Cricetulus griseus: one gene and its partners. The protein of the gene in region 2 purifies or fractionates together with the protein of the main gene of each other region. This does not show direct contact. Links are inferred from orthologs where the notes say so. Each region holds a gene or a part of one and is shown on either strand. Other genes may lie near its edges.

Region 1 (4,963 bases), on a different chromosome or scaffold from region 2:
AACAAAGAACCATTTCTTAACATCTCAAAAATAGCTGTTCTGGGGCTCTGGGGTCACTGAAGCAACAGTATTCCCAGGCCCAAGGAGATGAGACAGGACAAGAAACAACTGTAGTGTGATGGGATTCTGGGATGAAAAGTGTTCAGCGACTCCCAGAATGGCAGACTGGCTCCAGAACTCTAAGGCTGGGATGAAGGTGGAGGACACCCTTCCCAATAGCTTTTCAGGTGCAGCCCAATAGGCACAGGGAAGGAGGAACTGCAGGTTAGGCATGCAGGGGTGGGCGTGGTAGAGAACACCTGTGGGTGGCGAAGAGAAAGCACCCTCCATAGGACTGCCAACCTGGTTGATGACGTGGGTAATGGGCAGACACAGTGCCGAGTGAAGATGAGAGCAAGCGTGTCAGGGAAGAGAGGCAATGGAACACATAACAAGTACCAACAAGACGTGACCTGGACTGGCCTTCTCCCTATAGGGGATGTGGCTTATGCTTGGGGGTGGAGGAGATGAAAAGTCATGAGCTAGGATTATCAGCTGGCCAGGGGCACAGAAGGCTCTGAGGACTCCTAAGGGGTAGGCAGGTAGGCAGCTGGGACCCCACATTCCCAGGGAAGAAACAAGTCCTTTCAGTTCGACTTGGACCAAATCTTGGCGCTCCCTCGGAGTCTGGCAAGGGGAAGAGAGAGAGAGGGGATGCAAGGGGTCCCCTAATTCCTGGAGGACACCCCCATTCCCGACCCCATGCACATGACTAAAGCAAGTGGAGCAGCCAGGCTGAGGCCCCTGAGGTAAATGTGGGGTACCCAGAAGCAAGCGGCTCCCCGCACGGGCTCACCCCTTGCCCTTTGAGGCTTTCTTGCTGGGCTGGCGCTGGTTGGTGCCAGGAGCTGGTTCTCTCAGCTCGGTCAGGTGTTGTTCTGGATCCTGAGAAGTGGCTGCAGCAGCTGCCGCTGTTGTAACTTTAATGGTTTTTTTAAGGTTGGCAACCTATCAGGATGAAAGGAATGGCAGATAGCAAAGTAGGTCCAGAACCTGACAGATCCTGATTATCTTATCAGTTTGCCTCAGCCACATCCAGCACGTGCACAGGCCAGGAGCCCAGGGCAGTAGCTGTAGCTGACCTGTTCCCTACCTGCTTACCTCACTCTCGATCTGTTGCTTCAGGCCCAGCTGTTGCTCCTTGTGCTGGTTGGCACGGCTGACTTGCTCCTCGATGCCGGACAGCACGACCTCACAGCCTACACACCTGTGGGAATCAGAGCAGATGAAGTGTTAGCAGAAGAGGCCTGTGATCATAAACTCCTAAAAACAAAACAAAACCTCAAAAGCAAGCCTCCAAGCTGGACTCGAAACCCCTGCCAAGGCTGGGAGCCCTCACCAGGCACCCGGGAACCAGCTACAACAGTATTTTCATCAGCAAACCCCCTGGAGTAGGAGAAGGAAGGGATAAGGGAGTAGCTGAGTGACACACACAGCGTGGGTGGGGCTGGGCGCTGTTGGGGAAATGGCTCAGTGGTAAAGAAGATGCATTGCTCTTCCAGAGAGCCTGAGTTTGGTTCCCAGCACCCACACCAGGCAGCTCACAACCACCAGCTCCAGTGGGATCTGACGCCTCTAGCCTCTGTGAGTACCTGCCTTCACCTGCACCCCTCTACCACACACACAAACACGAGTGCCAGGCACGGTGGTGTGTAACTGTGCATGCCTGTAATCTCAATACTGGGAGGCAGAGGCAGAAGGATTTTGAGTTCAAAGCCAGCCTGGGATACAAAGTGAGGTCACAATGAAGTTATAGGGATACAAAGAAGAAATTGGAAGAGAGACCCATGGCCCATGTGTTATGTGCCTATGACAGTGACAAACCTCCCATGAAGAACCCCCAAGAACCCCAATTACTGCTCCAACAATCCTGCCTCTTAGCACCCAGCATCTCCTTCAAGCTTGTTCCCTCAGAAGCTTCCAGAGCAAAGTACTGGTTTCTTTCTCTCCAATTGGACTAACCCTCTGCAGCCCAATCCCTGCTCTCTCCTGCTCACATAAGGGGATGGTTAAGGCCTGACAAGTTCTCACCACTCCTGCAGGGTTCGGGCAATGGCACTGAGGTCCTGGCGCTGGATGTCTCTCCCGATGCTGTAGTCAACCTCCAGCCGCTGATTGCGCTGGTCCAGGGAGCCCCGCAGGATATCTGCATACACGGCCTCGATCACAAGGTCTTCCAGCTGGCGCACGTTACGAAGGGCAAGGGCCTCCAGCAACACTGCATATGGGATACACTGGGTCCAGGGTCAGACCAGGGTTTGTGGGGCTCAAAAGCAGAGGACTTTCCATATCCTCCTCCCTCTTTTCCCCACTGCTGAGTCCCACAGGTCCTCCATTCCTATCTCTAAACCATTTCCCAGGAAATGTTAGTTCTAAAGCAAACGTATCACCACCTCAAAACATCATCAGAAAAGGACAATCCTTCCTTCTTTTTCCTTTTCTTTAATGTACTCTGACCCAGGCTCTTATTCTATAGCCCAGGCTGGCTTGAACCTCACTATGTAGTCCAGGCTAGACTTGATCTTACACTAATCCTTCTGTCTCAGCCTCCCAAGTGTTGGATTACATAAGACATGACCCCAGACTCAAAAAGACACTCTTAACACACAGAGATGCTACCCTACTATGCCCCACTTGCCCCAGCACAGTGAAAGAGTGCGACATCTTCCTGGGCCATTTCTTTGGCAGTAGCTAAGGATATTGTATTACATCAGCTTGACATCAGAGGACTATACATAGGAGGGGTCTGGAGTTACTCTGTTTAACACTTGGACTTAGCCAAGTTACAAACTGGCCTCACCTTTGAGGCCTCCTCAATTGTGAGTCTGATCCCAACAAAAGTCACCAGGACTCAATTCTAGCTAATGCCTGGGAGAGTGAAGACTAGGAACACGTGGTGTAGTGTAACAAAAAGCTGGGCCCACAGGGACACAGACACTTCTGAGGTACACATTATGTCTTATTGTAGCACACAAGCCTGGCAGTTCCAGGGGAAGAACCCCATTTCTAGCTCTGAGGCTTTGTTGTCCTGGGACTCTGTATGGTGAATGAACGAGGATTATCAGGATCCCAGTATCTATTTTGACACCAAACACAAAAGATGGTAACTTAGAACTTAGGTTCAAACTGAGAAACTACAGCCTCCATGACTGCAGTAATGGAGTTTCAGTTCAGACCTAGACAGAGTGAGGTCAACAGCTGTCCTGGTGGAGACTCCCAGTGACAAACAATAGGCAGTCTCTGGCTTTGGACTGGTAGGCGGCAGGACTGTCACTTACCTTGACTTTGGCAGCCAGAGTGACAACTGAGAGATGCCGAAGCTTATTCTTCTGAGCCTCGGTAAGTGGGGGAAGATTCCTGGCTTCAGCTAGGGAAGGGGACAGAAGCCCAGGCATCTTATTTTTAGCAGTTTCTTACAAGTTTTCTGCACCAATTACGGTCTTAGATTGCCCAGAGGTTCACTTACGCCATCTAAGTGGGGCACCCCAGAAATTTCTTCCAAGTCTCTCCAGAAACCACCCTTCCCCTGTCTCCATAGCTCCACAGCTCCAGCCCCCATTTACCTAAGTAGTCAGCATAGGTCCCATAGGCAAACACTGTGAGCAGCCGGAAGGTGGAGGCAAAGTCGCTTTCTGCCAACTGCAAGAACATCAGGGAAGTGACAAGAAGGAGCTATTTGAACTCAACTTTCTGACCCATCCTCCCAAGAGTACCTATCCTGGTTCACCAAAAGGCCTTCTATACATTTCCGAGCATACACTGTTGCTGAGGGCTCACTCCTACCTCGAGCTCTTTTGTTATGCTATGCATCAAATTCCTACTCTAAATCAGGGGTGTTTGGTGTATCATACACACACATCAGATATTGTAAGTTAGTTTGGCTCTCAGAGGGCACAGAATTTGTGGCCTCTGCTTCTGACTGTCCTCAGTGAGGTGGTCTTACATCATCCACCAGTATCTCGAATCACCGCTCACTCATCCTGGCATATCAGACATGCAGCATCTCACCTAACTAACAATAGTTTTTAATAAGGCCAGAGACCCAGCATCCATTAGCCTACAAGGATGCAGCAGAATTGCAGCCCTCAAACTAAACTCTTGCTAAATAACTGTCTTCCACAGTTTCATCCATTTATCTGATCTCTTTAACTGAATACAAGCTTGAAGGGCAAACCTGTAGCCTTATATTTTGCAGAATACTAAACACTGTAAGGCAATTAGAAAATGTTTCTTCTACTTATCTTAAAACTATACTTTAGTTCACTGTAGATAAAATCAGGAACAAAAGATAGCGCCAGTTTTCTATAAACGGCAACCCAAAACACATTATATCCTCTAATTCAACCAGAGGCCTCTTAAAACTCGGCTCAGTTTAGCCACACTACTGTTAGCCTCTCAGGACAGAGGCCAGTGACACAGTGTTGGCCATCCATTTGCTCTATACTTCAAGCTCTTGACTGGCCATTTGTTATTGATGCTCTTTGCTGTGTTCATAGCAGTTTACCATTGTCTTTGGGAAGAAGACATTGTCTTCATTATCTACCATAAACGAATTTGTATATTCGACACTTGGGGAGGTAACATAGCATGATAATATGCTCATCTTTACATTTTTAGGAGGCTTTAGACTTTCCCATAATTTTACTTCTGTAATTGTTGAGAGGCAGTACTTTTTTCCTTTTTGCAGTTCTGAGAATCAAGCTATAGAGAGCCTTGCATGCTATAGACAAGGGCTCTTTCACTGAGCTACATCCCTACTCCTTTTTGAGATGGACTCTAAGTTGCATAGGCTGGCCCAATATTTGTGATCCCCCGCCTTAGCATCCCAAGTTCTGAAAAGGACCCCGAGGCCCCACGAATGCTAGGCAAGCACTCTTATCAACTGAGTCATGTTCCAGTTTCTCATCACCATTTTTAGGAGAAA
Region 2 (5,990 bases):
TTCTGTTCTGATGTCCTTTGTCTCTGAGGATCCACCTACCTGGCTTCCTGGGAAGAACCATTCTTGTGGCAGAGTCGGCTTGCCATCCTTGTTCCAATACACCTGAAAGTGCAGAGTTCACATGCAGATGGGGAAGCGCACAAGTGCCCGCACGACCCACCCCTGCCACTCGGTCACCGCTGCAGTGCCACACTCAGTGGGTGTGTCTTTACTAGGAAGGTTACTACAGGGATCGTATAAACTTATTTTTGAAATATCCTGAAAATACTGAAAGCTTCCCTTTCCTCTCTGGGGCTGATATAATCACTGACATGCTTAGTGGTCTGTAGTAGTGACCTAATTAGTCTAATTCCAAATAGAAATAAGAAATGCCTATGACTATCAATCACTGTAAAACAATGTAACCAAGTGTTGTTGTCTGCTGCAGCTGTGGGTGATGAAACAGGAACCACTAACAAAACTCAACAAAAACCATGTGGAGCTTATAGGGAAAGGGAGAAAAGAGCAAAGGGAGGGGCAGGTGTTGGCCAACCGGGAACAGAGATGGAAGGGGAACAGGTGGGAGGTGTTCCCTTAAAAGAAGAAAGCTTGCACATGCTTACAGAGTCCTTACATTACCTGTATCCACAAAACACAGGGCCCTTTGAGCTAAGTATCTGCCTGAATGTCAGTGTGCATACCCTGACAGTTGCCCAGGGGTGGGGCAACACCAAGCACCCACAGTTCTACCTGTGGGTTAAGAGCTGCAAAAGGTACTTGGGCATGGCCGAGGGACTGGGGCAATGAACTAAAATGTACTGTGGAGGCAGGACTGTCTTTTAGAGCAGGGAAGGGCAAACCTGGGGGATTTGGTCAATTGAGAAGTGCTTTCTTAAGCAGCTATGCAAATGACTACACAGCTGCACAGGGACACTCCTGTGTTTGGTTACAGCTGAAACACGGAGGTGCTGGGTGACGTGGGCTTTGTTATCACTTCCTAAAAAAACCCTACCACCCAAATTCCCACCATTCTCCTAGAGTTCCAGAGGAGCAACAGTGAACCCAGGATTTGTGATTTCTGTTCCCCTGTAAGGAACCAGCAAGCTCCAAGTACCTTTCACAGCTTCTTCCACAGGAAGTCCAACAAAGGCTGCAAAATCATCTGCAATTATGGAGGTATAAGCTTGAGAGACCAGGGCGAAGGCGCGTCTCCTCGTTGCATCTATTGTGGGAGGGGAGGGTTGGCAGCAGGAACCAAGAAAAGAGGACTCTTAAACACAGTTCTGTCAACCGGTTTTTATTTACAGGCAAGACTAGACGCACCGCATGCCCAGAAGGTCTGAGGGACCCCATACTGAGTGAACACACACATTCCTCACATCAGATGCTGACAAAAGCCAGAGGTAGAAAACAACATCCGCAACCATAAGACCCCTATTTATTTATTTTTTTTTTTGAGACACGGTTTCTTTGGAGCCCATCCTGGCACCGAACTCACAGAGATCCGCCTGCCTCTGCCTCCCGAGTGCTGGGATTAAAGGTGTGTGCCACGCCGGGCTAAGACCCCAATCTTAAGAAGGCAAACATTTACGAATTTAGGTACAAACATTTTAAATTTCCTTTGCTCCATTTCACTTGCAAACACTAGCAGAATAGGTGAGAATACAGCTGCCCCTCTCGGGAGGGTATCCAGTACAGGATTCCTCCAATGCAGGAGCACAAACCTTATCCCCAGCACCTGTTTCTAACTTCAAGTGGGCACCAAGTCAGAACCCTGAACCCAAGCTTGAAGGTCTAACTCTCAAGAGAAGGTGCTGCCAGGCCCAGACATAAGATATCCCTGGAAACAGCCTTCCACATTTCCCCATGCTCACGTATGTATCTACATTAAGAAAATTACAGAATAAGACAAATGCCCCATCCAACCCAGCTAGTCCTCCTGTACAGTGCCCTTTTGGTAATAAAAGGCTCCTTCAGAAGGCTGCCAACCTGCTTCAGAAATAACCAGATTTTATAGTCTACAGTTGAGGCAACTGGACACATAAAACCAACCCCTTAACACACTGAAATTTCCCCTTTGCACTGTCAACCAAGGAACGCAGGTCCCTTCAGGCACCTTTTGCTCCAAACTAGTGCCCTTGGCCAGACTACTCTTCACACCTCACTCCTGAGCTCTGGGCCCCACTGTTAAAAGGTTGGAAACAACATTTCTTGCAGTACAACTGTGAACCTGGCTTGCTGACAGTAACCAAAATGGGGCATGCCTTCAACCACAAGCTTTTTCACAGCTCTGGAAAACTGCATATACAATGGACCTGGAAATGGCTTAGTGGGTAAAGGCGTTTGCTACCCAAGCCTGGAGCCCTGAGCTTGTCCCCTGTGCTCTGTAAAGGTGGAAGGAGAGAAACCTATGCCTGCTAGAAGCACACCATGGCAGTATGCGCAGTCTTCCACACACAGACAGCACGCCGACAGGAAGCCGCGCTCCATTTTCACCACTCCTCCTCTGTCTTTACACTTGCACTCTGCTTGAGACTACCAACCCCCAGGCAGACATTGAGAATGTCTCGGAGGCGCAGAAATTCCCCTATGAAGGAGTCAGACATTCAGTGGAAAAGAACCAAGGCAGCATGGCAAGAACATACATATAGAGTGTGCACCATAACCATCTCCCACCATTTAAAATCACTATCTTTAGTTCAAATATTCTGGTTAGACTTTTGGAGTAGGGAATAGACAGGAGCCACATGAGAAAAGCAGCAGGTTTGTGGAGAGGCAGGAGAGGGCTAACAAGAACGGAAGGACAGACAGAGGAGGGGCAGGAATAGGCTGATAATGGATGCAGAAATAAAGGCTCTGCATTCTAGTGCTGATCAGCAGCCACACATTGGTCTCCCAACTTGCTCTAGCTGTGGTCTCCCCACAGCTCTGGAATCAGGCCTGTTCTAGGGTCCAGTAATACTGTTCCCTCATCCCATCCCCTCAGGCTTTGGGTGAGAGTGACTGTTATGAACATCTACTCCCTCAGTGCTTTGCCAGCCCTTTCTGGCTTTCTGTAACAAACTGCTCTCCCATCAGGCTCTTTAGCCAAGAAAGCTCTAATTTCCTAATAGCACTGAGATGTTCAGACAGAAAGTCCGAATGTGGCACCTTTAACTAGAAAACAAATTTATAATACCCTAAAAAGCAAAGCATCAAACTCCGCAGAAATTCCAATCTGTTTTGAGACTGCCTTACCAGGCTGGCATTTTACAGATCATTTAGGAATCTGGAGATTTGTTAAGTCTCAAGAAAATCTTCATGGATTGAATAGAACAGCGTCTCAGGCTATGACCAGGGTTTACAAGTCAACTCTTCAGTTTTATTTCAAAACAATGAAATGAAGCTCAGCAGGTTGATGAGCCAAAATGAAAACTCAAATGCTTGGCTCCAGTGATCAAACTCCAACAAGCTACACTAGACAGAATGGGTGTCTGTGGGCTGGAAGCAACTCTTAATTTCACAGGGAATCCAGTGCAAGGTGGTACTAGGAAAAAATAAAACACACAGAATACTCACTGGATAAGTAGGGAGCCCATACCCAAGTCCTGACTGTGACCCTGCAGTCCAACACCTGGAAAAGGCAGCCTGCACTTACCAGGCTGACCCCAACCCTGCCAGTCCACTCTCCAGTGGCTCCTTCCAGGGATCTTGCCACGACAGCTCTCAAGCAACACGGCACCCATGTAACCTCACTCCACACTCCTCCCCCTGCCCGCGTCTACCCTCAAATTCGGCTCATGCTTATTCAAAGCATCTATTTCCTGCTTTGTCATTTACACTGTTCTGCTTTATGCTGACCAGGTACTACTGCAGAGAATGGACTGGTGCAGCTCTCCAGCCATCCTTACTCTCTGCTCCCTGGTACACCGAGTCCTTACCCTGCTGATGAGGACCTTTACATCAACATCAGTCCCCAACTGAAAGAATACACTAAAGGCAGGTAGTGACTGCAAGAGTGGAACAATGAAAGAGAGATCACTGTATGAATGTGTGTGATGAGGCCAGAATGCTAGAGTGGCTAAGAGTCTGTATATGTTCTGCTCTTTCAAGACCTGAATCTGGTTCCCAGCTCCCAAGCCCAGTGGCTCAGAAGTGCCAGTGAGTCTACCTCCAGAGGATCCAATGCTGTTGGCCAGCATGCGTGCAATGCACACGCACACACAAAGGCCAATAAAAAAACAGGAAAGAGTGACCCAGAAAGACTGGAAGCACAGGCAGGGAAGTGTGAGAAAGGAGGGAGGCAGGGACAGAGCTATTATGTGTCGGCACCACATCATACCAGGCCTCTAACCTTCCAAAACAATGAAAACAAACTTAGATTCTAAGCTTGTTCCTTTTATGAGATGTATACAGGGGACACACATCTATCAAAGGCCAAGGTTAACAAAATCCAAATTCTGTGGATTTTCAAGTACACAGACTTAAAAAAATCTTGACCCACCTACACCATCGACTTTACGTTACTGCCTAGTTTCATTTTAACAACAAAGAACCCTTTCACAAGGCCACATGTGTGGTACATACCAGTAATCCAAGGAATAAAGGACAGAATGGGCTACTCAGCGAGAACCCTGTCATAACCTTCCTGTCTCCACAAAAATAGTGACAAAGAGGATAAAAGATATTGCCAATGGAATAACTGCAATCTGGAATCAACAGTGACACCCTCCACTCCTGCCATGTCCCCCAGAATCCCCAGTAATGAGATGAAGAATCACAATTAACACAGATCTAGGTCAAGCCTGAAAAGCACCCACAAATCACAACTGTCTTCTTCAAAAGTATACACTGACACAGCACAGCACTACACCTCCAAGGACTCCAAGGACAGGCTTAGTGCCACGTGACTTTGAACCACAAAGAAACATTACCTCTAAGGGCTTCCATGATTGGCTGCACAGTCTCCGACCACTGGTGGGCATTGATGGTGGTATAGATCCCGGGGAAATCTCTCTGCCAGATTCGCTGTCCTACTGACCAAATCCCCCCAAGTTCAGAATTTGCCTGCAATAAATATTGTTGCCTTTGAAGGAATTCGCTCTGAAAATAATAATGACTGTATCTTCAAACAAAATCTCAGAAATGACACAAAACTTGTTAGCTGTATCATTAAAACACACACTATTGGTTTTAGGAGCTGCAATTACTTTTCTAACAGGAGTGTCCAATCTGCAGCCCACAGGGCCAAGAACAGGTATGAACTGTGAAACCTTTTTCTTTTTTGTAACTTGCGTGCCCAGTTCCAGACTCTGAACTTTGCAGGTGATAGAATGGTTTTGCAATGTCCAAAGGTTGGAGCTGACTAAAAGGCTGTGAGCAGTAATGTCAACAAAATTTCTACAATTAATGTTTTTACTACAATCACAAAGCATGTGAAAGTAAAAAAAAAAGTTTCTGGGGACCAATTATCTTAAGCACTGCCATTTAAACCTAAGATGCTGACATTTCTTCAGTTAGAACAAGACCACCAAAAGCTGGTTAGCAAGGCAATGTCCATGCAGAGCCTATGTGCAGAGCTCCCGTTCACATCAGCTCAGCGGATCCCACTCACACCACCTGCTGCTTCTCCCTCTTGCTTCACTCTTACAAGCAGCAGTTCAGGGTAAGAGAGAAAAGTGAAATAAAATCCTTCTTCATTCTACTCGGCAAGGAACTTTTCTCAGGTTATTGCATTTAATCTCCCACCCCAAGTAAGAAATTTTAATTAACAAAGTGATCTTCATGCAATGATTATTCATGTAAATAATGCCAGTTTCCAAACAAGGTCATTATAGGAAACCAAGTAGTCTGCTGAAATCCCCAGCCCTCAGTTGCCACCTGCATCTGAAATGGTCAGCTGTGAACCAGCTGACCCACAGGGCAAGGCAGGCCTCACAAAACCTCATCAGTACACTAACAAGATTTCCACACCATTCTATTGGAGAAACCTGAAGGTTTGTAACTTTAACCGTTCAAGTAACAATGGTGTA
Region 3 (5,990 bases), on a different chromosome or scaffold from region 2:
AACCTCACTGATCTCCCTCTCACCACTCTAAACCCCATCTGAAATAACTTGTGATAGCTTTCATGAGTATCCAGTAGGTATCGATCACTTTACCGTAAGGTAAAAATCTACCCAATGTAACAGTGCTTGGCTATCTTTATACTTTCTTAGCTCTTCTGCCCTATTTAATCATTCCTTCCCCTCTGACATTCTACTGACTCCTTTCTCTCACTGCTGCTTCTGCACAAGTTTCTTTTGCTCTTCTTACACCTGCTAAATGTGAGCCCTTCTCAAGTTCAAGTTCTGCCCTTTCTCTTCATCTTCACCATATTCTTCCCTTACTGAGGGAAATCTACTCTCTGGGGCATCAATGCTACTTTCTATAGAGGACTCTCAGTATCTTTCTCTATTCAACCTTCTAGAGGCTTTGTTCCTGAGTAGGACAGTTTCTAAGACATTAGAGGACACTCATGTATCCATCATATTCACCAGTCCTGCCTTCAGGTGAAATATGGACAAGAGTTTTTGACAGTTAGGAAGATTAAGGGGTCATAAGCTAAGAAATAGAAGACTAATTGGGGAAAACAATACTGAATTTAGAGACCTACCTTCATTAATGTGCTCAAGTGGACTTGGAAATTGGAATAAAAGAATAAAATATTAACACTCATATTCTGTTGGTTTCTTTGCTGACATAAGCCTTTAAAAGGCACATATTTTCAAATGAAAAGCAGAAAATGTGTGATTTCTATCCCTATAGCTTAGGTCTGAAACAGTTAATCTTACCTCTGGTGGCAAATGGACTTCCATAGGCACATATGTTGGCCAGTAACCCATTGTCAGGATATTCACAGTTAATTCGATATTGCCAGGTACATTCTGGTTCTGCATATACTATAAAAAGATCAACACATACAATTAAGATCACAAAAGTGTACATGTCGCCAGGCATTGGTGGCGCACGCCTTTAATCCCAGCACTCTGGAGGCAGAGGCAGAGGCAGAGGCAGGTGGATCTCTGTGAGTTCGAGGCCAGCCTGGTCTCTAGAGCGAGTGTCAGGATAGGCTTCAAAGGTACACAGAGAAACCCTGTCTCCAAAAAACCAAAAAAAAAAGTGTACATATCATACCATAATGTTGACTTATTTAATAATTTCCTTATTCTAAAAATGTATGTGAATACTAACCATCCTGAAAATAAAGGCAATTAACTATTAAGACTTGAAACGAAGGTTACACAAAATGCAGTAGAAAAATAAATAGGTGGCTATTTTGATATAGTAGCATAAAAATCCTACAAAAACATCCTAGGCATTATTAACTCAACTTATCACATATACCTGGGCTGTTATAGCATCTCTTCTCCATTCTTTTACCCCAATGCTACCTGTAGTCCCCACCTTTGGAGACCCCTACATGAATTGGAACACCTTGCAGCAACTCCCATTCCTCACCCCACCAGCCAGCCCAAGTCTCAGGTTTTTCAACTGTTCCATTCCCTGTTTGAAGGTGGTGACCTGAAGTGGGAAAGGAAGAAGAAGGGGAAAGGGCAAGGAAGATAAACCCTATCCTGCAGCTAGTGACTCCTAACTTTCTCTAGGCCTTCAGTTCTACAGTGGTCAAGAAGTCATTAATGAAACTCTGAGAGTGTAACATGACATGTGCCATCATTATTGCCTAGGTGTTGCTACTGATGTCTAAGACAGGGTCTCAATCTATTGCCCATGTGTCATTATTTCAGCATCCAAAGTAGCTAAGACTACAGTTATAAAAACCGTATCTGGTTATGTTCTTAAAATATTTTAAAACAACCTTCTATCCATGTCTTCAGAACTACAGATCCAGCCTCTCATCCCAAATGTCCCCAGAGATATTATATACCACCCCCACCTTTTATCTCCTCACCTCTCCCATTACAAGCTCTGAACATACAAATCTTCCAACCAATTAGATGTCAAGAAACCCCAATCTTACTGTCTAGTTATAATTCTTCTTACACGAACTTTGGTCTCATGCATTTACTTATGTTTCAGTCTTATTCTAAGTGTTTGCTAAGACTAAATGCTGAAGGAGGTCAAACGCTCTTAAATTTACACACTGATGATCTGTTCCCTCTACTGTACCATTTAAGTTGCCATGAAGTTATTTGTAACAAATAGATGTTTCTATTTATCCTCTTCAATATGGACTGACACAAAGACATAACATAAATATCCTTAAGTTCAAGGAATTCCTAAGAGTTTAACTCACTTTTACCTGTTTGAACTGAATCATGATGTCTTTAGAAAGCTCCATGTCTTTAAACATCCCTTCAAGCTTGCTGGTGAACGCAGCTCCACATTCTATTAAAGATGTTCACATATTTGTAATATTTCAAGGTAGTACAAACAAAACATTTAATAATCAAAAAGGGCAAATCTTACTTGGCCATAAAATAAGACTATAACTATTGATAAGAATGAGAAGAAATTCTTACCCCCCAGTGTGTGCCCTACTAATTCAGAGGCAAACTCTTGAATCATATAGCAACCTTATCCACTTTCAGGTATATTTGGGAACTTTTTATACAAATAAACAGAATAATAATGCTTTATCTTTAAAACAAAAGCCAATGACTGTGGAAATCCAACAAGAAGCTAGGACCCTCATAAGCTCACTGAATTTATGGGTTTGTGTGTGTAGGGGGGTCAGGGAATGTATGTATAGATACGGGTATCCACTCATGCATGGAAAAGCCAGAGGACGTTGGCTAAACTGCTTTACCACATTCTGCTTTATTCCTTTGAAACAGGATATTTCATTGCATCAAGAGCTAGGCTGGCATCCAGGAAGCCCCAGAGATCCTCTTGTCTCCCACCCTCACCCAATCCCTAGAGCCACTGGGTTATACAAGTACACATGGCCTTTTTACATGGATGCAGGGGATTTAAACTCAGGCCCTCAAGCTTGCACAGCAAGGGCTCTTACCCACTGAGCCATCCTCCCCATCCCCTTAGTTTACTTTCCCATCATCTGTACCAGTACCATCATGTGCATATGAAATGATCGACAAAAGAAAGCCATCAATGAAAATAGTACAATGAACTCAACATTTCCCTCAAACATTAAAGAAAGGAAAATTTAAATAATAAACAAGGAAAGAAAACGGCAAACATACCATGTTTCAGTTTGGACAGCATTGACTTTTCAGCATCTACAGATGCACTCTTGCCAACTAATAGGCGTTTGGCTAAATCTTTCTTATAGAAGGCCTCAAAAACATCTTTGCCTGTATTAAATAAAAAATAGAACTCATGATATGCCAAGTAAAGTTGTAACAAAATGGCTTCAAAAAGCTTAATCACAGAACCTCAAGTTATTTTACTTTATACATTTTATCCAAGTTTATTAAACTCAAAAACACTAGAAGTCTATGTCTGTGCCAGACAATTCAAAATTCTTTACTATAAAAAATTTAAGACTGGGGCCGGGCGTTGGTGGTGCATGCCTTTAATCCCAGCACTCAGGAGGCAGAGGCAGGAAGAACTCTGAGTTCGAGGCCTGCCTGGTCTCCAGAGCAAGTGCCAGAATAGGCTCCAAAGCTACACAGAGAAACCCTGTCTCGAAAAAAAAAAAAATTAAGACTGTATTAACTTTTCTTCAGCCAAAAAAAAAAAAAAAAAAAAAACACTTTAGTACACAGGTACTGTTAGCACCAAAACTCAAGAGATTAAAATAATCAGCAAATTCCCAGGTTCATATTAGTGGAAAGGTCAAAGCATAAGGTAATTTAGTTACATTCCTCAACTATTCCTTTTTTCCACTTGGTTTTTTGATACAAGGTTTGTTGGCATAACAGACCTGGTTGTTCTGAAACTTGCTCTGTAGACCAAGCTGGCCTCCACCTCTCACAGAGATCTGCTTGCCTCTGCCTCCACAGTGCTGGGATTAAACGCATGCTCTATCACCGCCCGGCTTCCTCAACTATTCTTTTTTAAAATATTTATTTATTGTATGTATATGAGTAACCTGTCTTCACGAACACCAGAAGAGGACACCCGATCTCATTACAGATGGTTGTGAGCCACCATTTGGTTGCTGGGACTTGAACTCAGGACCTCTGGAAGAGCAGCTAGTGTTCCTAACCACTGAGTCTTTCTCCAGCCCCTTCCTCAACTATTCTTAAGGAATTAAAAATATGCAATAAATAAAATGCAACCTCTAGTTCCCTAACAGTCTCTCCAGGTTATATAAACATTTCTCATACATCTAGGAGTGCTTTATTTGTTTTGGTTTTTGTTTGTTTGGAGACAAGGCCTTGCTATGTTGTCCTAAGTTCGTCTGATACTCACCATATAATCTATAGAGCAATGCTGCCTCAGCCTCCCTAATTCTAGACTACAGGTATCTACCACTATGCCTGGCTCAGAGTGCTTTGTTTTAAAAGAAAAACATGAAAGCAGTAAGCAACAATTACCATAGATAAATCTAAATATAATCATTATTTTATCCAACATTTTCTCCAGCTCTTCGTCTGTAGCTTCTTTGTTGCCTGCACGAAGTTTTGAATCCACATACTTAGCTAAAATGGAGAAAAAAACATTGCTGTTTAGTGACCATGGGTGTCTACTCTCTTCAGTATGTCTATTATATGTACATGCATTTTATAAGTCTCCAATAAGAGAGATAAAGCTGTCAATGTCATGAGGATAATACATACTGCAGCCTAAAAGCATTAAGTCTGACTCAAGAGAGGAGAGAGATAAAATGAAGTCAGACGAGCTCATGGTGAAGACTCCAAGTAGCTCTGTGTAGAGGGTAAACAAAGTCACCAGAAAACATGGGTATCCTCTAAAGTTTGTATTTTACATAGATGGTCAGCATCCTTAAACATTACTTTTCTATTTGAACAAACCAGAAACAATAGAGCAGAAGGCACAATTTATAAAATGTTTAAATGCAAACAAAATTTGACTTTAACCAAACCTGACTTCATCCTTTTGGCAGAGGACCTAGCTCCCTAGGTACTAGTGCATGTGTAAGGAACCGTGAGAAGCACTGCAACACACCTGCATATTTAGTCAGCCTGTATCATTAGATTTATTTTCATCCTAGACTTTTTATTCCTTGTCATTTGGAAATTTCATGCTGGCCTTTTCCTGTATAACTGGAGACCTTTAGAAAATAGTGTTCTGCCCCATTTCTAAATCCCTATAGGCTTAGAAAGTACAAAATCAAGTTTACTCACTAAAAGTAAATGGGGTCCAATGTTCTATCTCACAAAGAATTTATGTCATGTTTGACATGAAGGCTTTGAGAAGGTGTTTAGCTTGAAGGAATTTATATATCTTACATACATGTCCTTAGAGACACTCTTTCAGACTTGGTATTAGTAGCTAAGCAACATCAAACAAACAAGACATAGGTATAATATGTTTTCACCTCAGAGTTTATCAATAAAAAAATTTCACAACCGGAAAAAGAATGTGCAACATACCTATGAGTTCAGCTGGTTTATTTGGTCTCTTATTAATGAATGTTTCAAATGCTTCTTTCATAGCATTGATAAATTTTTCATTTTTCAGGAAGCAGATATCAATTATATGATCAACTTTATCTTTAAAGTCCAACAGCTCCTGAACCATGGTTTTATCTTTTTCAGGGTTGATAACAATAGTACTTCCAAAAGCCTGCGAATGACAATGGTATAAGGAAAATAATCAACACATCATATTTTAACTTGGTACATGTATTTAGCAATCATAGAAAAGGCACAGCTGTCTCCGAAGTAAAGTAGAAAATACCTCAACAGATAATCTTCATTCATAAATACAAAAACTAATGATCACTGGTTATACGCTATCGTAAATGGGGTGTTATTATTACTCTAGAAGCTTCTTATTGTTAAGGAAGTCAGATCTGTACTTTTCAAAATAGGAATGTGGTGAGGAAGGGAGGGAAGGAAGGATTTGAGGTTCAAATTTGTAAGAATAGACCAAATGGCTGCAGAATGCCAACAATCATTGAATTTCC

What was found.
Region 1: the proteins of Cops8 (region 2) and Cops7a purify together in Homo sapiens (affinity purification with mass spectrometry; 11 studies listed by BioGRID and IntAct, counting the BioPlex papers as one, with this or other methods). This does not show direct contact. The link is inferred for Cricetulus griseus from reciprocal best matches to the Homo sapiens genes COPS8 and COPS7A.
Region 3: the proteins of Cops8 (region 2) and Cul4b purify together in Homo sapiens (affinity purification with mass spectrometry; 7 studies listed by BioGRID and IntAct, counting the BioPlex papers as one, with this or other methods). This does not show direct contact. The link is inferred for Cricetulus griseus from reciprocal best matches to the Homo sapiens genes COPS8 and CUL4B.

The regions. Positions count from the first base shown.
Region 1 is NC_048601.1:21,453,870-21,458,832, reverse strand, and holds part of Cops7a (COP9 signalosome complex subunit 7a), read right to left. Parts: intron 3,679-4,963; coding exon 3,603-3,678; intron 3,407-3,602; coding exon 3,318-3,406; intron 2,274-3,317; coding exon 2,071-2,273; intron 1,247-2,070; coding exon 1,141-1,246; intron 988-1,140; coding exon 836-987; intron 667-835; coding exon 627-666; 3' UTR 1-626.
Region 2 is NC_048595.1:442,135,039-442,141,028, reverse strand, and holds part of Cops8 (COP9 signalosome complex subunit 8), read right to left. Parts: intron 5,026-5,990; coding exon 4,893-5,025; intron 1,202-4,892; coding exon 1,094-1,201; intron 103-1,093; coding exon 40-102; intron 1-39. UniProt on the Homo sapiens protein: Component of the COP9 signalosome complex (CSN), a complex involved in various cellular and developmental processes.
Region 3 is NC_048604.1:28,547,015-28,553,004, reverse strand, and holds part of Cul4b (cullin-4B), read right to left. Parts: intron 5,648-5,990; coding exon 5,455-5,647; intron 4,540-5,454; coding exon 4,435-4,539; intron 3,247-4,434; coding exon 3,136-3,246; intron 2,321-3,135; coding exon 2,235-2,320; intron 874-2,234; coding exon 766-873; intron 1-765.